Linked DNA regions of Cricetulus griseus. The protein of the gene in region 3 interacts with the protein of the main gene of each other region in a pairwise test. Links are inferred from orthologs where the notes say so. Each region holds a gene or a part of one and is shown on either strand. Other genes may lie near its edges.

What was found.
Region 1: the proteins of Tsen54 (region 3) and Tsen2 interact in a two-hybrid assay, tested with the Homo sapiens proteins (2 studies listed by BioGRID and IntAct). The two-hybrid records come from large-scale screens. The link is inferred for Cricetulus griseus from reciprocal best matches to the Homo sapiens genes TSEN54 and TSEN2.
Region 2: the proteins of Tsen54 (region 3) and Clp1 interact in binary tests that used the Homo sapiens proteins (3 or more experiments, as listed by UniProt). The link is inferred for Cricetulus griseus from reciprocal best matches to the Homo sapiens genes TSEN54 and CLP1.

Annotation. Positions count from the first base shown.
Region 1 is NC_048601.1:29,320,710-29,329,002, forward strand, and holds the start of Tsen2 (tRNA-splicing endonuclease subunit Sen2), read right to left. Parts: upstream 4,386-8,293; 5' UTR 4,298-4,385; intron 1-4,297.
Region 2 is NC_048599.1:90,798,776-90,807,003, reverse strand, and holds the start of Clp1 (polyribonucleotide 5'-hydroxyl-kinase Clp1), read right to left. Parts: upstream 4,386-8,228; 5' UTR 4,260-4,385; intron 2,036-4,259; 5' UTR 2,014-2,035; coding exon 1,408-2,013; intron 754-1,407; coding exon 82-753; 3' UTR 1-81. UniProt on the Homo sapiens protein: Polynucleotide kinase that can phosphorylate the 5'-hydroxyl groups of double-stranded RNA (dsRNA), single-stranded RNA (ssRNA), double-stranded DNA (dsDNA) and double-stranded DNA:RNA hybrids. dsRNA is phosphorylated more efficiently than dsDNA, and the RNA component of a DNA:RNA hybrid is phosphorylated more efficiently than the DNA component.
Region 3 is NC_048600.1:128,404,273-128,411,443, reverse strand, and holds the end of Tsen54 (tRNA-splicing endonuclease subunit Sen54), read right to left. Parts: intron 7,162-7,171; coding exon 7,109-7,161; intron 5,024-7,108; coding exon 4,925-5,023; intron 4,781-4,924; coding exon 4,155-4,780; intron 3,522-4,154; coding exon 3,461-3,521; intron 3,164-3,460; coding exon 3,047-3,163; intron 2,606-3,046; coding exon 2,455-2,605; 3' UTR 2,142-2,454; downstream 1-2,141.

The DNA of each region.
Region 1 (8,293 bases), on a different chromosome or scaffold from region 3:
AATCCACCTTATGCCAGGCCATGACAGGGTTGGGGGGGGGGCGTTGGCAGAAAGACTTGTTACACACCCCCAAGAGGGTCACAGTCTAGGGTCAGGACAAAGTCCTGTGGTAGCTGAGGTTGACTTTTGCTGAGGATGAGAGTCAAAGAAACATAGGGGAAGCTGAGGAGGACAGACAGCTGGGCCAGGCTTTGTTTGGCTAGATTTTGGGGGGCATCTGAAATTAGATAGTGAGGGTCTTGAAGGATGAGACGTTTTGCTGTTATCATGGAGTACATAGGAGACACTGAAGGTGCTTCAGTGTGGTTGTGACTTAAGGAGTAAGGCATCCAAGGATGCCTGTCTGACATTAGACATTAGGTAGAAGGGGAGGGGACGGCCACGAATCAAGAGCCCCTGTGGGGAAGGCGTCTCCTGGAGACAGATGACTTGTTCAAGTCCTGCCTTCATGGGGAGATGTCTGATTGCCTCATGTCAGGTGGTAACATGAGGAAAGGGCAGAATTCCAGACCAGAGAGTCTTAAGCCTCCGTCTTTTATGCCCAGACTCCGGCTGTCCGGCTGCCTGCCAGCTGCGTGTCCACCTACCATAGCTATGGAAAAGGAGAACACAGCCTCTCCTGGCTTCCCCATTATCCTGCTGGAGTCAAAGGCATCAGGTTCACCCTTGCTGCCCTGGCAGCTGGTGCATCCTGGCAGGGACTTCCACACTGTGCTGGTGGAGGTGGGATGCTGAACTAGACAGCCACTACTTGGCTGTGTGGCTTTTGGTGGAGAGCTGCTTCAGCTCAGGCAGGGCCAAGACAGACATGGAACCTGAACCCATGGCATGTTAATGCTCTCTGTTGTAATTTGGTTTCAGTTGCTATGATGGAATACCCAAAGCTGGATTGCTTATGAGTAACAGAAGGTTCTGAAAGCTGGAAGGTGCAAGATCTAGGGGGTGAACCAGGTGAGGGTTTGTGCTGTGTCATAATGTGTTGGAGAATATCACTTGGAAAGGGAGAGAGACAGGGGATGGGGAGAGGGAGCGGGGAAGGGAGAGCATGGGGCAAACTGATCTTTCCATTAGGAAGTCCCTCCTATAATAAACTAAATACCCCTGCTGGGGTAGAGCCCTCATGACCTAAATCACTTCTAAAGGCTCTTGTCTCTGCTGACACATGAACAAACTTGTGTCACCCCCGACAAGGGCATCAGTGACAGACTAAAGCAATGGCTCCATTCAAGTCCAGCTTGGCAACCCAACGAGTTCATTGGGTTTAGTTACAGAGCACAGGTAAGAGGGCCACTTACAGGGGTTCAGGTGACCCCCCCCCCACAGCTGTATCACTGTGAAGTCTCCCCACACCCTAACTGACCACTTCTCTGTAAGTGCATAGATGGAACACCCTTCAGAGAGCCTTCCACATCGATGGACCCTAATACCTCCCGAGACTAGGGTCTCACCACCCTCTCCTTCTGTGAGGGGAATGACAACAGGCCTGATTTTGAGGGTGGCAAGTGGTCACAAGTTGCTCTGATGAGGATGGTAGTGGTTGTTATCCTTAGAGAACAGCATTTCACACCAGCCGCACCTCACCACACCACTGCCCTGGGAAGGAGTTCACAAAGCAGAGACCTTTGGGGACGAACATTCACGCTACATGACCCAGCTTAGCGTAGATAGCGGTAGCTCACGTTCCCCTCTTGGGATCCTAAGATCCTTCATCCTATAGCCTAAGGTCTCAAAAGAGTTGAGCCAGGCCGGCAGGAAGGGAATAACCATGGCTGGTGATGGAGAAGGATGGAGAAAGGGGAGGGAGCATCACAAAGCCATGTGGGCATCTCCTATTCAGTGCAGGCTGATGTTCTTGCCAGGAGTCTGTGTGTACGCATCATTTTGACCTCTTTTTTTTTAATAAAATGGTACCAGGGATTGAACCTAGGGCCTCCTGCATGCTAGGTAGGCTTCCTATCACTTCTTTGTATCCCCTCTTGTGTGTGTGTTTACATGTGTGTGGGTATTTGTCTACATATGTGCCCATGCGTGTAGAGGCCAGAGGTTAATGCTAGGTGTCTTTGCCCATCTCTTCTCACCTCCTGAGGTGAGGCAGGGTCTCTTGCTGAACTCAGAGCTCATGGTGTTTCTAGTCAGCCTAGCCAGCTTGCTCTGGGTATTCTGTGGATGGGGTCACAGGAGGCTACAATGCCCACTCTTCTTTTCCATGGGTCCTGAGGGTCTAAACTTGTTCCTTCCACTTCTGCAGCAAACACTTTACTCTGAGTTGTCTTTTAGCTCCCTCCAGCAGCCCTTTAATACTTTTTAAATTATTTGAGGCAGGATCTCATTAATTTGCCATTAGGAATTGGAATGGCCCCTGAGTTTGGCCTATAACTCCAAACCTGGCAATTTCTGATTTGTTTTTATGAGTGTTAAAGGCCCAAGAAAGTGGGAGAATTCACCCAAGGGGAGAATTCCCAGCATCCACTCTGTTCCCATGGTAACAGAGGTGGGCTGCTCTAGGCTAGGCAGCTCAGAGATGGGGAGGAAGGATGGGGTGGGCCTGAAAGTCACTGAGCTGCTGTTGGTGACACAGACCTGGGATACACACAGGAGAATGGAGACCCTGGAAAATACCTGTTCCCCACTTGGGTGTGACCTTCAGGGACAAAACTCTGCCACTGAGTGACTAGTGGGAGCTATGGCCAAGCACCATGGGGGAAGGGTCATGAGAGACCCTCATTCAGTTTCCTGGTGCCCCACCCCAGATATAAGCCTATCTGAGCTAGAAGGAACACACTCACTCACACACACACACACACACACACACACACACACACACACACACACACACACACATTTTAAAGACAAACTCTTAATGTGCTCATTTTTATGCTCAGGTGTTCTCTGATTTACATAGGCACAGAACTGACTGTGGAGGAATTGCTTGAGATCAGCCACAGCTGTATACACTCATCCTGGTTGCTTCAGTGTGTGGTATGTCTAAAATAGGCAGGGATTAATTATTATGATTATTATTATTAGACACAGTCTGTCTATATAGCCTAGGCTGGCACAGAACTTAAAGAAATCACCCCACTGTTCCTCCCCCACTACTGGGATCACAGGTATGTGCCATCATGCCTGGCTGGAATCATTCTTAACACACCAAAAATTTTAAGCCAGGTGTGGTGATCCATACCTGTAATTTTAACACTTGGAAGGTAGAAGCAGGTGGAATCAGGAGTTCAAGGTTATCCTTGGCTGCATAGCAATTTTGGGACTAGCCTGGTCTACATGAGACCCCATCTCAAAAAATAAAACAGAAAAAAGCTGAGAGTAACAACCAAAGCAGTTTAAGAGGATGGAGCAGGATTTCAAACAGAACCTTGGTTAAAATTATGTGCGTGTGGACTTAGACAGGAAGAGCTAAATTGGGGGTGTCTTTCATGAAGGTACCATCTCTGGGTGGTCAGGCTTAGGCTGAGCTCCTCTGCTTGTTTCAAATCCCCCCTTCCTCATTTTGAAATGAATAAGTGGCAATGGATTAATTTATTCTCTCTTGACTTTTCTCCTGTAATAAGATGAATTGTAAAGAGACATGAGCATTGTCCACAGAAGTGAGGAGCCACTTCCTCCCCTCCCTAGATAACCCAAGCAAGAAGAAGGTCTCAGAACTAAGCAAAGGCCTGGAGGTGACAGAATCACACTGCAGCCAGTTCCAGCAGGCACACAGCTTTGCCAGTGTGGTCATCTGCATCAAACTTTGGATAAAGGGACTCCTGTCTACACACAAGGGATGCAGCTGGAAGGTCATGGTTCTTGGATGGGGGTATCTCTGGGACCATCAATCTGCAGGCATCATTGCATGCTAGGTTGTGAGATACAGAGATGAATGTGATAGTACTGGTGGACAGTATGCAAATGAGGCTCTTCCCAGAGACCTGGGTTGGAATCCTAGCTCGAACTCTTCCTTGCTGTGCAGCTTTCAGCTAGTTATATCATATCACCTCTCTGAGCTTTAGCCCAGCCCTCAGTAAGGATGGTGGAGATGTGATCACCTCTGCAGGGGGCTGTTACCAGCCTCAGATGGGCCATGTACAGCAAGCCTTGCCCCCATGGAGTGATGGCTGACATAGATGCCCTGTAGAGGCCAAGTCCTATGTCCTCCTTTGGGCCTCTTATAATAGCCATACCTGGTGAGACAGAACTGTCAGAAGAGTATCCACACGGTATCCTCACAGTAAGGTAATAACGATGACTCGGACTTGTGTCTGTGGATTCTCAGAGACAACCAGCACAGCATTCCACTCACCTTGAGAGGAAAGGGGTCATCATTCCTATTTTACAACACAGGATGTGGAGGGCCAAAGAGGCTGTGGCGTCTGTCCAAGGCCACACAGCTAGAATGTGACGGAGAGGTGTGTGAGGCTAGGCCTGGCTTTCCTTGGCCACAAAACTAGATTCCCCTTTGCCTGATATATCCCAACATAGGTTGGTTCAGAGTGCTAGGGGGACACAGACTCAAGAACATGGTAATGGAGATAATAAATCTAGGGTGGCTTCTGTGAGGTGGGGACATTTACACTGGGCTTTGACATATCCAACGGCATGTGCTGGGCGCCATGTTAGGCAGATGTATGGGTTCAGAAGACAATGGCTGATACAGTTTGGCTCTGGTATGTTCCCAGGGGTCATGTGTTGAGGCTTGGTCTCCAGAGCAGAGCTACTGGGAAATGATGGAATCTGTTTTTATCCTACTTGTAGGTTTCATTATGATATTTTTATTTTAATTGAAAATTCAACAATGTATTCTGATCACAATTTCCCCTACCTCATGTCCTCCCAGATCCTTTCTGCCTCCCCACCTATCCAACTCCATGCCTTTCTCTCCTTTTAGAAAACAAACAGGCAAAAACAAAAACAGAATAAAAAAAAGAGGAAGCATAAGAAATACACACACAGACAAAACCCATAACTACACAAAATCAGAAACCATAGTACAAAAGTAAAAGACCTGTAGTATAAAAAGGTGCTCAAAGCAATATGAAACAAAAAAATCTATAAAAATATTGTTGAGTTTGTTTTGTGTTGGCCATCCACTTCTGGGCATGGGGTCTGCCCTTAAGTGTGGCTTAAATACCCAGTGAGACTATTTTAGGAAAGTGACTTTTTCCTTTGCGAGTAGTTGTCAATTGGAGACAGCTTCTTGATTAGGGATGGGAGATTGCATCCACCTCCCCCTCTCATTCTGGGATCCCATCTGTCTTGAGGCTGTGCAGGCCCTGTGCACACTGCCACAGTCTCCATGAGTTCATATGTGCGTCAGTCCTCTTGTGTCTGGAAGACACAGTTTCCGTGATGTCATCCATTCCCTCTGGCGCTTACAATCTTTCTGCTCCTCTTCCGCATAGCTCCCTGAGCCCTGAGGGGAGAGGTTTGATGAATACATTCCATTTAGGAACGAGTGCTCCAAAGTCGCTCATTCTCTGTGTGCTGTCCAGCTGTGGGTCTCTGAATTTGCGCCCATCTACTGCAAGGGATGATGGCTGAGTGAGACACTGATCTATGGGCATAGCACTATGTCATTAGGAGTCGTTTTATTGCTATGCTCCTTTAGGAAAACAATAGTATTTGGTTTTCCCTTAAATCTACAGTCTATCTAGTCTCAGGTTCTTGTCAACATTTGCAGTGTCAGGCATTGGTTTCGTTTCATGGAGTGGGCCTTAAATCCAAGCAGATGGTGGTTGGATACTCCATTGCTGCATTGTTTTATGCAGGCAGGACACCATTATAGATTGCAGGGTTTGTAGCTGGGTTGATGTTTACCTGTCTCCCCTGGTAGCATGTAGAGTACCTTCCAGTACAATGAACACTAGTCAGAAGGGGTGAAAGCTGTAGTATATATATATATGTGTGTGTGTGTGTGTGTATTGTTTTTTTAGTAAAATAAAGAGCTGTATCATTAATTTGTGCAAAGCAGTCAGTAGCCTGAGCAACATCTTAAGTTGTTTAGGGGTTTCTATGGGTTCCTTTGGTCAACAACTCAGTTAGATGTAACCCATTTCTGGCACTGGATGTTTCACTTGGTGGCAAAAGATGTTCAGCTGGGACATCATCTTCCTTGTTATTTTCCAAGTCGATTTAGATTTATTTCAGATATGTATATATTTTAAGACACTTCCACAGTGGTAGGTTTATATATAACCCTTCTTGTGGCCCTTAGTGTAAGTTATCCCTCCGGGTATTCTTTCCCTTATCCCCCATCTTCCTTCTGCTCTCCACTTAACCCTTCTGTTCTAGTCTTCCCAGTGTGTTTCTACAACTATATATTCTAGGGAAATGATGGACCCTGATGGAACCTTTAAGGGGTGGGTTTAGAGGGAGGAAGCTAGGTCACTGGGGATATGCCTATGGAGACTGATAGGTGATAATTCCCACCTTGACAGGGTGTAGAATCACCATAGAGACAAGTCTCCAGGCACATCTGTGAGCAATTATCTAGATTAGGTTAGCCACTCTCAATGTGGGTGGCACCATCTCATAGGCTGGGGTCCCGGCATGAATAAAAAGGAAACTCGATAGCTGAGCATCAGCCTTCATAGTTGTTCACGGACTGCCGCTGCAGTGTAAGCAGCTGTCTTGCGCTCTGCTGCCATGCCTGCCTCACCACGTGGACTGTAACTGTGAATTGTGAATCAAGAGGAATCTGTCTTTCCTTAAGTTGCTTTTGTCAGGTGTCTTGCCAGAGCAATGAGTAAAATAACAGGCACGTAGGGACAGTGGGCCCTTAACCTCTCCTCCCTGCTCTTTTGCAAGCATTGCATGACCCCCACCAGTGTGTCCTGCCTTGCCACAGCTCAGATGCAACGGGGGCAACCAAACATAGGTTACAACGTCTGAAGCTATGAACCTAAATGAACCTTTTTTTCATATAAGACGATTAATTCAGGTATTGGGTCATAGTGACAGAAAACGCATGGGCACAGTGACTGTCCCCATGAAGGCTATAGACTCATTTGTGGCGGTAGGACTTGCATAGAGACTGGTCCCTGTCTCCTAGGACAGGGGTCTAAGTTGATTAAAATCACCAATAGGGGCCAGGAAAATCGTTCAGCGGACACAGACTTGCTTCACAAGCATGAGGACCTGCGTTCAGTCACCAGAACCCATGTGAAGCTGCTGAGCATGTAGGCTCTCTGGGCCAGTCTATCCTAATTGGTGCTCTCCAGGCCAGTGAGAGGCCATGTGTCAAAGGAGGTAGATGGCATTCCTGAAGATGGCATCCGGGGTTGTCCTCTGGTCTCTGAATATCCCCACACATATATGCACCTGCACACATGTACATTGTCTCCCATAGTATAAAACCAACCATCAGTATGCCAGTTGACTGAGTGTATTTGTATGTGAGGTATGTGTATGCGTTCTAAAATATGTATCTGGGATATACATATGTATATGTAAAATATATGTATACACACACACACACACACACACACACACACACACATATATATATATATATATATATATATATATATACATACCAAGTTTTATTTGTGGTTTTAAAAATATTTAAAAGTATCCTTGGGAAGACAACCATTTGTGGAGCTTCCAACAGGGTCTCCAGGGGCAGCAATGGGCTGGCTGAATTCTCCTGGCAGCTTACACCCTTATAGTTCTTGTACCTCCTCCAGGTATGAGGAAATGATTCATTCAGGTCAAGGGCAGGTCAAGGGACTTGACTGAAGTCACTAGACTACTAAGTGGATAGGATAGGACATGAGACTCCTAGGTTTGACTGTTCTACATTTGGTCTCTGGGCCAGGCTGAGAACATGGAGGGGCTATAATAAGGACCCTGGTGTGAATGCAAAGAGATGTTCCAACTCCACTCACACATCCCATCTCCTTAGGAGCCACTGTGGAGAAGGACTTGAGCTCTTATCTCTGTACTTGGTAACCCAAGGTCTTGGCTTGTCATGCCCTGTGCCTGGCTTCAGTTCCTCAGCTGTAAGAGGAAGTGATGACACCTCATACATCCTGAGAATGCTGGGGATATATCAAAGCCTGTGTGCCCACCAAATCCTGTAGGTCCCCTGTCTTGCCCCGTGGCTGCTACTCTGTGGATCAGGCTTGCTTTGTCTGTATCCAGGGAGCCCAGCACTGTTTGTTGCAGCCTCTGACTGGCAAACCCTTGACCCAAACTGTTGCTCAACGCGATCCTGATCATATGAGCCTTTGCGCCAGAACTCAGGTCCCCCGAGTCCCCGTGGCCTGATCCTAAGATGTTGGGTTCTGTGCATGTGGCA
Region 2 (8,228 bases), on a different chromosome or scaffold from region 3:
AATCTTCCCAAATCTCATCCCATCTGCTTTTGGTGATGGCCAGTTGTCTATGATCCAGAAAGGGAGGCTCCTTGCTAATTATTACTTGAGATCCATGAACCGGATATCCATGATGAGAAGAAAGTTCTTAGGCAGTGGACGGGGTGCTGGAGACAGTACAGTAAACACCTGGTGTTCCAGATCCACACTGGTCACGACAATGAATCCAGCCACACTTGTCTCAGAAAGGTTCTCCTCTGTTCCCTCAGCAGTGCTGACACTCAGGAGATGGTGTACCATATCTCTGCCAGGGGTGACAGGTACTAACTTGAGCTGATTGTCTTCCTGAGACATGCCCAGAGGTAAACAGGAGTCTGGGATGGTTGGTGCCCCAACTTTGTAGATTTTCACATCAGAAAATTTGACATTGAAGGCATGGGGATAGAAACAGCCTCGGAATCCATAGAAATACTCACGGATACGCTCATCCCTACATTCCCGCCGGAAGTCCTTGGAGCGTTCTACCACGCCCCCTGATTTTGGAAGCAACACAGTTCGAACAAAATGAGGCAGGTCCCTTTTCAATTCGTTGTACAGTCGTTCTTGATCCAGAACCACAACCACGTCCACTTCAAAGGCGGAAGCTGCATGCACCAGGGCCTGGTAACCAGAGCTCTTGACCCAACCACAGGTGTTAATGACACAGCCACTCACAGAAGCCCTTCTGTTCACTTCACACCTTTGGTTGAACACATCGGCTAAACGTGATGTAATCTGGAAAAGAATCAAAATGAGAACAAAAAAACAGATAAATTTGCCTATATTATTTACTTGTTTTTATTTTACATGCACTGATTTAGTGTTTTGCCTGCATGGATGTCCGTGAGGGTGTCAGATTCTCTGGAACTGAAGTTACAAACAGTTCTAAACTGTCATGTGGGCAGTGGTGGCAAACACCTTTAATCCCAGCACTCTAGAGTTAGAGGCAGCCTGAACTCCGAGTTCAAGGCCAAACTGGTCTAGAGAGCAAGTTCCAGGACTGACAGGGCTAGAGAAACCCTGTCTCGAAAAACCCAAATAAATAAATAAAGTATAAAAATCCTTAGTTTCCTAGGGGAAAAAAAAAAGAATAGGGCCACAAAAAGTGTAGCAGTCTGAGGCTGGCTTAAGTTTACAAGGGTTTCTTCTAAATTCAAAGCAATTAACTAGGGGCAAAAATTCTTCAGTTTTTTTTTTTTTGTTGTTGTTGTTTTGTTTTTTCGAGACAAGGTTTCTCTGTGTAGCTTTGGAGCCTATCCTGGCACTCACTCTGGAGACCAGGCTGGCCTGGAACTCACAGAGATCCACCTGCCTCTGCCTCCCAGTGCTACCCTACTTCCTACCCTGATTTAATTTTTCCCTCTACCCCATCTTAGCTCCAGCTCTGACCTTATTATAAAGCTTGATGTTGGTGCCAGGAGTGGTGGAGCCAAAATGATATACAAGAGGGGCCTGGATGGAGAAACCTTCTTCCACATCTGCCGGCCGTTCAATATAGAGGGCTCCCATGGTACCAGGGATGGACACAGAGCCCTGACCCACATCCAGCTCCACATAGGTAGGGCGGCGGCCCAAACGCACTGCATAGTTGAGTAGCAGTCGACACACTGTGGACTTGCCCACATCAGTAGGACCCACTACCATCACTCGGGGGCCTCTCTCTTCTTCCTTTTCTGCCTGCCTCCGCATCTGCTCCAAGGCTGTATGAGTGTTGAGGTAAAGCAACATAGGGGTGTCCTTAGAGACATAAGCCACCTCGGTCCGGCCACTCAGTTGCAGAGAACAGCCATGCCAAGTGAAAACAGCCACCTTGGCACCAGCATCAAAGGTGAATTTCTTGTTTCTGGTAAGCTCTGTGCCAAAGATCTCTGCCATGCCAGCCAACAATTCCAGTTGAACTGACTGAGATGCTTCCACCTCAAATCGAAGCTCTGTTTCTCGCTCTAGTTCAAATTTAGTTGTTGGCTTCTTGTCATCATTGGATTCCTCACTCATTTTTTCTGTATAGCTGCTGTGCCTAGAACCCAAATTAAACATTAGATTAAATCATTACATAAGGCCATTGCTATGCAACAATCTTTGCACACTGTAAATATGTATTATTCTCATTGTTAATAAGGGAGAATGCTGGGAATAGGAAGGGCAGAGTCAGAGGAGTCACAAGGAGCCAGAAGCACAATGAGTTAGACACACAAAATGGGGTAGGGGTAAAAGCCATGAGCCTTGGGACAGCACACAGATTAACAGAAATGGGTTAAGTTGTAAGATCTAGTTAGTAACAAGCCTGAGCTATCGGCCAAGCATTTATAATTAATATTAAGCTTCTTTGTGTTTATTTGGGAGCTGCTGATGGGACAAAAACTTCTGCCAACAAATGGCACAAACATCTAGGGTCACTTACATTCACATAAAGCCTGAAAAAGCTTCTTTAAAAAGGTGCTAAACATGCTGGGCGATGGTGGCACATGCCTTTAACCAAAAAAAATTTTTTTAAAAAAGAAAATACAAGACAGTCGGTTATTGTGTTGTCTTTGAATTTTTTGCCTCCTTAAGAGACACTGGATTATGAAAACTGCTAGATTCAACATATATATATATATATTGCTATATATATATATATATATATATATATATATATATATATATATTGGTTGAATCTATATCTATCTATATCTATATATCTATAGGAATAGGAAGGGCAGAGTCAGAGGAGTCACAAGGAGCCAGAAGCACAATGAGTTAGACACACAAAATGGGGAGGGGTAAAAGCCATGAGCCTTGGGACAACACACAGATTAACAGAAATGGGTTAAATTGTAAGAGCTAGTTAATAACAAGCCTGAGCTATCGGCCAATATATATATATCGGTTTTTCGAGACAGGGTGTCTCTGTGGCTTTGGAGGCTGTCCTAGAACTAGCTCTTGTAGATCAGGCTGGTGTGAAACTCAGAGATCCGCCTGCCTCTGCCTCCCAAGTGCTGGGATTAAAGGCGTGTGCCACCACCACCCAGCCAATGTATTTTAAAGAACTATGCCCAAATTCCCAAAAGATGGGCTATTTATTATCATTTAAGGGAGGTTGGTTACAAGCTGTTATTTGTAATGGTCAGGAAAAAAGCTGAACAAAGGAGATTAGATTGAAAGATCTCTTTCTGAAAGGGGGAGATTATTGAATCCTTTTTTTTTTTTTTTTTTTCGGAGACAGGGTTTCTCTGTGTAGCTTTGGAGCCTACCCTGGCACTCGCTCTTGTAGACCAGGCTGGTCTGGAACTCACAGAGATCCGCCTGCCTCTGCCTCCCAAGTGCTGGGATTAAAGGCGTGTGCCACCAACGCCCGGCTATTGAATCTACTTTTAAACCAAAAAAGCAACTGCTAGTCTTAAATATTTTACATTGGTATGGATTTTTTAATATCGATACAAATTTAAAGTTAATTTTTGTTATACTATATGTATGTTTCTACTCGTTTGGGTTATTGTGTTTATACAACTCATTAAAAATGCAAACCAGCCTGTCTCAAAAAACAAAACAAAACAAAAGAAAAGTAATGTATAATTTAAAAAATACAGATTAATAGTCATCTATAATAGTCAGGCCATCGTTCAAAATCTTCCATTGGTTTCATCCCTTTATCTTTTTTCTGCGGAGTTCTTATTGCCTTCCGACTCGCTGGGTTTTGTTTGCGGGTCTCCCCACAATTAGAAGGTAGAGGTGTTTTTGTTTGCTACTCTATCTCTAGTAGATAGAACAGCAGTGCACCTCAACAGAAAACTGAGTGAATGAATGACTAGGTTATAATAAAAATGTAACTAACAGGAAACTTACTGCGTTGTCTTCCTTCCATCACCCTATCGGGAAAGAAATAACAGATGCCCTCTCTCCAACTCTCAGCCAAAAAAAAAACTAGACTCTGAATAGTGTGCAAAGTACAGCACACAGGGTTCGGACTAAGAAAACAGTTGTATGTCAAGCTCTGAAACTCCAATAGCTACTTTAATTCAATCAACACCTCAACAAACTCATCAGCTGTCATTTGGTGGGAATTTACACGTCCTCACCTAACAGTGCTGTTAACAGCTACCACAGTAGGAAAAACAAAATGAAACACCGTAAATTAGGCGCTAGCAAAGAAACGTTAGTTACTCTGATTCTAAACCGCACTTCCAGGTCCAGTATTTGTCGCAGTTAGTTCCAACACAGAAATCTGCCAAGGCCTCGCAGAACTGAATTGGGGTCCTTACCTGCACAACCACAGGTCCTAAATCAGGGTAGCAGAAGCCTTCGGACAGGACTCCAGCACAACGACCACTTAGAGAGCAGCCGGAAAGCAAATGCGGTTCCGCTCTTGCGCGATGGGAGGAAGCGCGGTCGCGTAATGCCTCTTGGGACATGTAGTTGGGCTGAGTGAGCGCGCGTCGACGCTCAGCCCTCTGGAAGTTGTAGTTCGAGAATTGTGCCGTGACGCGCGAGGTGGGCGGGGCAACGCCGTCACTTTGTGCGGGAAGACCGCTGGAGGCGGAGAGGAGGCGTTGCTGGTGCGCCCACGCGCGGAAGGCATTTACATGGTCTCTCCCCATCTGCTGTCCAGGAAAGCTAAGGGCTACCAGAAAGGGGAGAGGCCTCTCTGTCTGGATCCTCTGCTCGCCTAGACCACAAGCCAGAAAGTGGGGAAGTTAGCAAAACCTAGCGTAAGCAGGAGACCTAGGCAGAGGGAAATAGAAACAGTCCCCCTTTGAGGCTACACAGAGCTGACAACCTCTGCCTGTCGGTGCCGAACATAGAGAAGGAACCAAGTGTAAATTGTTTTTTACCCCACCCCCACCCCACCCCGGTTCAACTGTAGCCCAGACTAGCCAATCCCGGACTCGCGGTGATTTCTCCTGCCTCCTAAATGCTGGAATTTACAGATTTGAGTCACCAAACCAGGATGTCTGTTGGGTTTTTTTGGGTTTTGTTTGTTTGTTTGTTTTTCCCCTTTAGTAAAGGTAGAATAAAAGCCCAGTGGTTTTTTTCCCATTAAATTTTTTTTTGGTTTTTCGAGGCAGGGATCCGCCTGCCTCTGCCTCCCGAGTGCTGGGATTAAAGGCGTGCGCCACCAACGCCCAGCTCCCATTAAACTTATAAACCAGTCATTATCCATCAACCTCTTCCAGATTCTGGATTGTTTCTCTATGTAAATCAGACAGTTACACAAGGTCAATCATTTACACACTGCTAACTGGTTCCACCATGTCTATAATACACTTTTCATGAGCATGGCCTTTGGAATCTTGTATGGTTGGCTCACTGCTTGACTGGATAAATCACAGGCTTCTTTCCCTGAAATGTCTCTTGTCTGTAAAATGGGAATAATAACAGTATTCAACCTCTTAAAGTTGTTTTGAAGATTGGATGAGATACATGTAAAGCACTAAGCACATTGCCTATAATATAGCAAGTATCTGATGTTAACCTTTAATTTTATTATAGGCTAGAGAGACTATAATAATCTCATCTATTCATATACCATGCTTTTACATTTTTCCAGTTCCTCCAGGTGTCTTATGTCACAACACCCTCAAAAACAGGTAGGTATATTATCTCCAGTTTCATTTGGGGAGGAAGATAAGAGGCATTTGCCCATTTAGTTATTAGTAGAGATCCACCTACTTTTGCCTCCAGAGTGCTGGGTTTTAAAGAGTGCACCACTAGGAGGCTTAGAGGTCGGTTTTTTGATGATTAATTTCATTTGTCAATTTGATTGGATTAGTAAACACTTTGGACACCAATGGGGCACATTTTGGGGTGTGTCTGTGAAAAGATTCCAGAAAAATGTAACAGAAGAGGAAAGATTCACCCTGAATGTGGGCAGCCCCATTCCAGGGGCTGGGGTCCTGGACTGAGTCAGAAGAGGAAAAGGAAAAAGCCACCTAAGCACCAGCATTCCACTTTGTCTGCTTCCTGATCTGCCCAAATGTGAGCAAGGTTTCAACACCACAGCTGCAAATTGTTTCTACTGCTGATCCTTCCCTGTGCTGATGGACTCCATCTCCTGAACCACGTGTCCAAATAAAAACCTCTTTCAGTTGCTTTTTGTCAAGTATTTGATTATAGCAATGAGAAAGATAACTAAAACAGATCCAAACCAAGAACTTAGGGAGCTGGATCAACTTATAACAGGCAAACAATTACATAGTGTGAGCTGTTAGGGCTTGTTCCATGGCTGCACAGGTGCAAAGGGCATGCATTCATTGAACTCCAGCTAGAACCCTGTGCAGTAGTTATAACCATCACTCCCATTTTACAGCTACTGTTTTTCTTCCTTCTAACTTTCTCTTTTTTGTTACTGTTGTTTTGATTTTCAAGACAGGGTTTCTTGTGTAGCCTTGGCTGTCCTTGAACTCACTTGGTCCTAGACCAACCTGGAATGGAACTTAAAGAGATCCATCTTTCTCAGCTGGAACTAAAGGCATGTGCCACCACTGGCTCACTGACTTTTTTTTTTAAGATTTATGTGTACAAGTGTTGTGCCTATATGTGGACCACACTCATGCTTCATGCTAGTAGAGGTCAGAAGACATGTCGAATCTCCTGGAAATGGAGTTAAGGACTGTTGTGAGCAGCCCTGTGCTGGAAATCAATGGACCTCTACAAGTGCAGCAAATGCCCGTAACCCATCCCATGAGCCATCTCTCCAACCACCCCCCCATACTGTTTTGTTGTTGTTTTGGTTTTTGTATTTCAGGGGGCTTCTCTGTGTAACAGCTCTGGCTGTCCTGGAACTTGGTCTGTAGACCAGGCTGTCCTCAAACTCACAGAGATCCACCTGCCTCTGCTTTCTGGGATTAAAGGCATGTGCCACCACCACCCAGCATATTTTATGTATATGATTGTTTTGCTGGCATGTATGTATGCGCATCACATGCATTCTTGATCCCCCTCCTAGGTCAGAAGACATCAGATCTCCTGGAACTACAGTTATAGCCACTTTGCTCTCGACAGCCAAGCCATCTTTTCAGATCCCTGTTTGGTTTGTTTTTGTTGTTGTTGTTGTTTTGTTTTGTTTGAAACAGGGTTTCACTGTGTTGTGTAGGCCTGGCTGTCCTGGATCTCACTCTGTAGGCCAGGCTGGCCTCAAACTGGAGACCTGCTGCCTTAATGCAAGTGAATACTTTCCTCATTCTAGCCCACCTGATGAATTTAGACTGAGAGTGTAGGGTAGCTTTCTGGTCTACCTTTTTCTTACTGGTCCTATTTAATACTGTTTTCAGGCAGGTGAGGTGTTACCTCTCAGTTTTCTTCAGGGATTTGCTTTAGTTATTTCATTCATTCACCATGAAACATTAGCTTTTCAATGAGCTATTGGTCTGATCCTTTACCACTCTTCAGAATTTTAGCATTAGACTTCCATTAGCAAACTTCTAACCTCCCAAAGGAACTCATCCTCTTTCTCTGGAACTCATTCTCCTGAGTCTTCTTTGCCACCACACACTCCCTTAAGGCAATGTCTCCCAGTTACCTGAAGGTCATCTTTATTTGGATATTGTGTAACCATCTTAAGCTGAATTTAGGAAGAGCCCTCTCCTCCCTTTTCAATCACTCTCCACTTCACTGCTTAAAAACAGGACAGAGCATAGAAAGCACCCATGCTTGCCCACTCTGTCTTCTCATTCCCCGTCTCATTAGGCACTCTTGCCATCTCTAGCCCACCCCCAAATCATTCTGTCATGTGTCCTATTCCTTCTGTCCAGATAAATCTTTGATCGTTTTGTTCCTTTGTTGATTTCAATTTATGAATATCCTTTTTGTTTCCAGCTTTAAATCCACGCCCTAAAGACCTTTCCTGTTTTTTTTTTTTTTTTTTTCCTTAAGATTGGATGGATCTTCAAATTCATCCTCCCTCTTTTTTGTTTGCTTGCTTGGTTGTTTTTCGAGAAAGGGTTCCTCAGTAGCTTTGGAGCTTGTCCTGGCACTTACTCTGTAGACCAGGCTGGCCTCTGCCTCCTGCCACCACCGCTCAGCTTGAGGTTTCTCTTTATTCCTGATCTTACCATGAAGCACAGACTGGCCTGGAATTTGCAGTCCTTCTGCTTTCAGCCTCATTGCCCCATGTAGAGAATGCTGTTCTGAAATAATACTAACTCTAACAAAACTCAATTTAAATGCTAACTTAAAAAGTTAACAAAAAAGAGGGAACAAAAGAAAATTACATTACTCTTTACTCAGTGCCT
Region 3 (7,171 bases):
GAGCCATCACTGCCTCAAGGAAGAGTAGAGATGCAGAATGTCCCTAGGACCTGGCACTGCTCTCCAGGGAACTGGCCAAAGCTGATCAGAAAACAGAAGAGCTTGCTTTGAGTCCTGTCGAATGTTCTGTGTGCAGATGACTTAAAACTACGGGACTCCTATGGGAGAAACATCGCTTCCTCCACCCTTCTCCTGCCTTCTTGTGCACTGTTTACACTCGCAGGGGGGTCTTCTCCCAAACGCACTCTTAGTTTTCTCCTAGGCAGGCCACGGTTTTTCGGCCGTGCAGCGCAGCTCGGCTCTTCCCACAAACATTTCCTTGTTACCCTGACACACCCATTCTCTCCCGGCTCAGAATGGCCTCAAACTCAGAGTCCCCAGAGCCTCATGGACGTCAGGGTCCCCAAGGGAAGGGGCGCGTTCTCGAAGCCCCGCCCTCCGTGCCGGAAGTCACCTGTGGCAGGTGAAAACCCTCGAAGAGGGCATCGCGGTTACCCCAGTTACGGCCACTTCCCACAGCTAAGCCCCAACGTGTCCATCCACCGTCCAGACTGAGTAAAAGCACAGCACACTTTCTTCCGCAAGAATTTCCCACTCCTTGCCGGGTCCCCCAGGGAAACCCCCACCCATCAGTGTAAACAGCCTGGGTCTCAACACCGTCGCCTACGGGTGTCCAAGGCCGTGGGGAGACCCCGTCCCCGCCCGGTCCACGAGGGCGCCAGGTCCCACGGCGGACTTCCTGCGTCGGGGATTAGGAGGCACAAAGGGCGGGCAGGGAGAGCGCCCAGATGGCAGAGGTGAGCGCTGAGCCGCCAAGGTAAGGCGCTCCTCCGGACGCCGGGTCACGGGGAGCGCAGCCGCCCGGCTCTGCGTCCGGGGGCCTCGCTCGAGGGTCCGGGACCGGGTGTCCGCTCACGGTGCCCCCGCACCCAGCCGGGCCAGACACCTGTTCCCTGCTCCCGAAAGCCAACGCGATTGTGCAAACCCGAGTCCCAAGTTTGGCAATCCGTGTGGCGAAACAGGAAAAGACAAGTTCTCAGAGCCACTTTCTACAGGTGCCTTTTCTCCGGGACGAGCCAACGTCGGAGATCCGGGCGAGCAGGGCAGACCTGGGCGCTGCCTTCTCCGACCCGCCCGGGGAAGCCCAGGGGACGCGGATCCCCGCGCCGCGCCGCCCCCAATGGTCCGCGCCCCCGAGGGCCGCGTAAAGCCAGGTAGGCTCACCTGCACTCGCGGGCCGGGCCCTGCCCGAGGCCTCGGCGTTCCTCGGCGCCCGTCACCCGCCGCTCCGGTTCCCGGCGCCGGCCCACGGGCTGCAGGGCGGCCGTCTCCTTCCTGCTCACCTCCGGCGCGGCGAGCGGGGGGCGGAGCCGCCTCGATTTACATATAGGGCGAGCCTGCTGAGCCAGCGCCCCGCCCCCGGCCCCACCCCCTAGGCTGAGCCGACCGGGCGGGGGCGCCGCCTGGGAGCCCTGGAGGGCGGGGGCCGCGCTCTGGCCAATCGAGGCCCCAGCAGCGCGGGCGGGGCAGCAGCGAGGAGGCGCACCTAGTGCCGTCAGCTCCACCCCGCCCTCACCTGCGCACACCTGGTCACACGTCTGCACACTGCTGCCAGGGTCCCACCACCTCCTGGAAGAGGAAGTAGTCCCTGGGTACTCTCCAGGATGGAAAGGTTCCTCCCGCAGCTGTCCAGCTACGTGGCATCCTCAAAAGAGCGTTTCTAACTAGACTGACCGGCAGGTGCACGGTTCAGACCCAAGAGTAGGCGGGATGGGAAGGAAGGCTTAGAGTCAAGACGCCTACCCACGGCTGGGAGCCCCCACTTCCGTCTTCAGAGAGGTGGACTGGTGCCCGGAGATCCACTGCAGCTAGGCTAGTTTTTAGTCCAAGCTAGGGACAGGCTTGGAGTAACACGGGGAAGGAACCTCTGAGTGGCTAGGGTCCAATCCAAACCAACATGGGACTCTCAGCCACCACCCAGTTGCACTCAAGTTAGGACAAACAGGACATCCTCGGGCATCCCTCAGCCCAACACCTCGGTGTTCAAAGTCATGGCCATGCTCTCCCACGGGCTCTCTCCTCCCCCCAGAGTGGGCAAATCAGGAATGAGGGGAAGGGTCAGTCCAGTAAGTAGATCCAACCACAGCAGAAAATATCTCTTTTAATGGCTTTGGCTTTATGGCACGAAGCAGGCACCCCCGTTTAAAGGCACAGAGTCCTCTTCTGCCCCATTTCCTGGGCCTCTGAAATCAAGTCCTGAGTTTCAAGGGGGTCACTGTCAGGCAAGAGGGCATGGGGCAAGGCTTCACTCCCCTACAAACAGCAGATCCCCAGAGCTGTAGACCACATTGGCCTAGGCAGTTCCAGGCCCGAGTCCTGTACAGGAGTCAGCCGACGTGGTCCCTGAGAGTAGTCCAAGTCCCCCAGAAAAGGCCAATCCCCAGAGCTGTGTATTCAGTGCTCCAGATCCCTGGGCAGTGTGAAGTCTCTGAAGCTATAGAAGGAGATGTCACCATGATCCACCAGGGCAAAGATGAGGGGAACATCCCCACTCTGGTAGGTCAACCGCTTGAGGCTGCAGAGGTCTGGGACAGGCTCATCAAATCTGTAGGAATAAACATTAAACTGAGACATAGCCATAGCCCAACCACGGCCCCCTGAGTGTAAGCCAAGAAGGCTGTAAGACAAAAGCTAGGGATACTGGCCCCTGGGCTCTGCTGTCTACAAACTCCATGGCTTTGATGGGCTCTTCAGGAGAGCCTGAGTAGAGGACAGCAGGTATGGGCTGTCAGCACCCTTAGCCAGGAAACCCCTCACATCATTCCCTCCTGCTGAGTGAGCCCAGGACTAAAGAGCAGATGCCAGTAACAAGGAGCCGAGGGTTTGGAAGCTTGGGTTCCTATGGCACCAACTGGCCACATGGCCTTAGATAGGTGGCCCTTAATCTTCAGGACTTCAGATCCTTCTCGGGAGCTGGCAAAATGGTGGCAGGGATCAAGGGGTGGGCTGGCGGCAGCCAGAGGTACTCTGCTCCATCATCTCGTACCCACTAACGCACATTCGGACATAGGGTTTGCCAGGGTTGTTTTTTCGGAACGTAGCCACAGCATCAGCCTGGTAAACGTCGAAGCTGATCTCCAAGCCTCTGGACTTCTCCAGCAGCCTGAGGACCAAATAAGAAATGTTACGACAAGGACAGTCTTCTCTCACCTCCCTCTACACCAAACCCTTTCCTACGACCAGTTCTACAAAACAGCCTCACCAGGGATATAGCCACCACCTTGTCACTCTTCCTTTCCCCTAGACGCACATGACAGTAGCTGCCACTGGAAGCTAAGTATGTGGGCAGGTGTCCCTGGGGTGATCCTCAGACTCACACCCAACTCCAGGCATCAAACCCCAGCTGTCGCTCTACCTGGCAGCCAATGTCACGGAGACAGTGAGCACAGCTGAGACTCACCCATAACCTCCATCAGGAAGGTGTGTTGTCTGCAGCACAGAGATGTGTTGAAGGACCGTGGCTACAAGGGCAGTGAAAGCAAGATGCAGAGAACGGGAGTCAACTTCCTACACATTCCTGTGATACTGCCAAGTCTGCTAATCAGGTTAGGGCCACCAGATTTACCAGGTGTTTAGTTTAAGGTATGCCCCATACAGTAGCAGTATTTAGAACACACTTACCTGGTAACCCTACTCTACTCACCTCCCAATCTACCATGTTCCCATGATGCCTTTGGAGAGCTCTGAACCTGGCACTACACTTAGCTCAGGCCACATACTCAGCTCCTTGTGTTTAAACACTGAGCTTTCCTCTTACTTGGCTGAAAACTCTGGTGCCACCATGTTCCTGCTAACAGGCTGCGAAGGGGACGGGCCCATAGCTGGCGGCTGGCAAAGCCATCCAGCATTCTTGGGTATGATCTTAAGGATGCAGGTACAATCTTCATCCCCCACAAGTGTCACTGGGTAACAAATCATCAGAAAACCTTCCCCTAGGGCTCTTCTGGGACCTACAGAAGAGTCTGTGTTGGGCCCACTTGACTGCCGTCTTCTCCTCTCATACCTTAGGCCTCAGCCAACCCTGGTCAAAACATCCTTTTCAAGTCTTATGATCCCAGGGGCCTATGGGTATAGCAGGGGGCGGGGAGAGATACCTGGGGAATCTGCTTTATCAGGGTTGAGCAAGGGAGTAACAGACTGGCCCCAAAGGTGTGGAGGGCGGGGCTGGCTCTTCTGCAACTGTCGCCTCTGCAGCAGCTCCTTGTACTCCCGCCAGCTGGAGCAGCCCTGCACCTCGGGATCTGCGTTCACATCCTCCCGGAACTGCTGGACCGATGCTTGCTGGTCCCGGTCTCTCCGGGAAAGCTTCTCCTTCCGCTGGTTCAGCTTTTGGCACCAGGACTCAGCATCTGTCCCTCGCCCAATGACATTGGCCGGGAGCAGCTCTGGGGCTGGGGCAGGCAGGAGGGTGTGGCGGCTATCTGAAGCCATGTTGGGGAAGGAGATCTGCTCAAAGTTCCAGCGTGCCTTAGGAGCCCCCTTGGCTCCATTCTGGATTGTGTCATTCTCTTGGCCACACCCCACATCCTCCCTAGACAGAGCAGGGCAAGGCTCTGAAGACCCCTGAATCTGAAAGGAGAGTCCTGAGCCCTTCCTGGGGCTTGACTCCTGGGGCTTCTCTGGGTACTGGTTATTCTGGTCACAGGCAGGTGGACTGGAGGCTGCCAGACTCATGGGTGGCAGGGAATTCTGCAGGGCCTTAGCCTTCTTATTAACAGACCTTAGAGACACAGGGAGGAAAAGCAGCATGTTTGTCCCTGGCTACAGTTTCACTGGAATTGAGGTGGACCCCCTGCTGTCTCCCCAAGCCTGTGAGAACATTCCAGTCTCCTTTGGGGAGAGGGGCAACAACAGGGGAAATTACCGACAGCTGGAACTCCTCTTCCTCTTGCCAGTCCCGTCCTCCAGGCATTGGGCATAGCCGTCCAAGTTAAGCTGCTTCTCATAAGGTGACAGGACAGAGCTGTGGGAGAGAACAGCAGGCAGGCAACAGATCCCCTCTCAGACTGGTGCTGCCTGAGGGGCTTGGGAGGGAGTGGCCAAGAGGCCGGTCAGAGGCCAAAGGCAGATCCATACCCAAAGGAAGGGTACCTGGGAACAGCCACAAGGGCCTAGTCACCCATTTGCCCAGGTCCCCTGAGTATCACCAATATCACCTCTGACCACATACTCCTAAAGAGCTGGCAATGCATGACTAATCAGGCTAGGAGTTCGGAGGTGTGTGGCCCTGGCTACACCCCAGTGCTACAGGAAACAAGTCAATCTTCAATCACTGGGGAGAAAAACCAAGAGGCAATAGAAAACTTGGAAAATACAGAAAAAAACAAAGATGAAAACAAACACCTTGAGCCAGACAGTGGTGGTGCATGCCTCTAATCCCAGCACTCAGGAGGCAGAGGTAGGTAGGTCTCTGATTTCGAGACCAGCCTGGTCTACAATATCAAGTTCCAGGATATCAGGGCTACATAGAAAAACTCTGCCTCGGAAAAAAAAAAAAAAAAACAAATCAAAACAAAACAAAAACCTTGGATTTCCACAGGTGACATTTTCCTTTCTTTTTTGTTTATTTGGGGTGTTTGTTTGTTTGTTTGAGACAGTGTCTCTGTGTGGCCCTGGCTGCCCTAGCACTCGACATGCAGTGCGTTTTCATTTCTTGCACATACTACTGTTTCTCTGTATGGTTTTGTTTTGTTTCCTGCCAGAGCTGACATGATACTATCACACTACTCTAAAATATCCCCCCCCTCACTAAGACATTGTCGGCTCAGACCCTTGTCACTTATCTTTACAGCATTCTTCCCTGCTGTGAGGAATGGGGGAGGAGTGTGTGATAGAGGGGGAGAGAGGGGGAGGAGAGGAGATAGAGAGAGAAAGAGGGAGAGAGAGAGAGAGAATAGCAGAGGACAGGAGAGCCTTGGGTATTATTCCTTGGGAGCTGTCTATCACGTTTTTTTGAGGTGGGGTCTCTAGTTGGCTTGAAGCTCACTGACTGGACCCGGCTGCCTCTGCCTCCCCAGTGCTGAGAATACAAAGACAAACACCCGTCTTTGGGGACTGGACTCAGGTCCTTGTACTTGCAGTGAGTCTCCCCAACATCGCCACTATGAATTTTTACAGTTCCCAATGCTTGCACAGTTCAGGTGCCATACAGTGAGTAGTCACAGCATCTATTCACTAAATTTAATCTAAACCAATTAAAATTATGAAATGAAATTTTAAGTGCTGTCATTACAGCCCAGGACATGTTTACTACATAAGACCTACGTGATGGCACTGCTTTAAATGAGAAACCAGTTGTGGTGGTAGGTCTGCACTGCTGAGCCCTAAAGCCTTTCAAGTACCAATTTTGCAAAGTGATGGTGTTCTGTGACTCTTCTGCTCTTCCTCAGCCATGGAGTTCAGGCCTAGCATGAGTAGGTACTCAGTAATACTATGTCCAGAGTAACAGAATATTCTCAGGAGGGACGGATTTCTGCACACAGCCATGCCCATCTTCCTAGGACTCGTACCACTCTGGGGAGCTGGTTTAGAGTTTTGGGGACAGACTGTGTAACTGCAGAGGCTACAACAGTTTCTGCTGTAAGTCTGAAAGTGGCTGTGGCGTTCGGCAAAGCTGGACCACTAGGTAATGAAGGGCGATCTGGCCCAGCATAAGCAATGTGAAACCCACCTCAATTGTAAATGCCTCACCAGCTCCTCATTCATGAACGTGCCTCACAAACTGGCCTGCACACCTACACACCAGGCACTGGTTAGTGCACACCTACAGGCCAGGCATTGGCTAGTGTAGCCCTATGTCTCGATGCTCACAGTGAGCTGCAGGAACTTGGTCACTATCTGTCAAGCTGGGGCCCAGTTTGACAACCCAGGAGAAGGTGCAGTGATGGAATTCATCTCCACATGCCTCTCAGTTGAACACCTTTAGCTCAGACCCACGAAGCCACACCGAAGCCAAAGCTCCCAGGTAAGGGGAGGCCACTTTTCACATGAGAACTTTGTCGGCCAGGTCCCAGGAACACAGTGAAAGGGAATCAAAGGAAGGACTTACCTTAGCTGGAACCGACGAACCACATAGCCTAGTCTCTTCAGGTGGCTGAAGACCTCAAGAGAA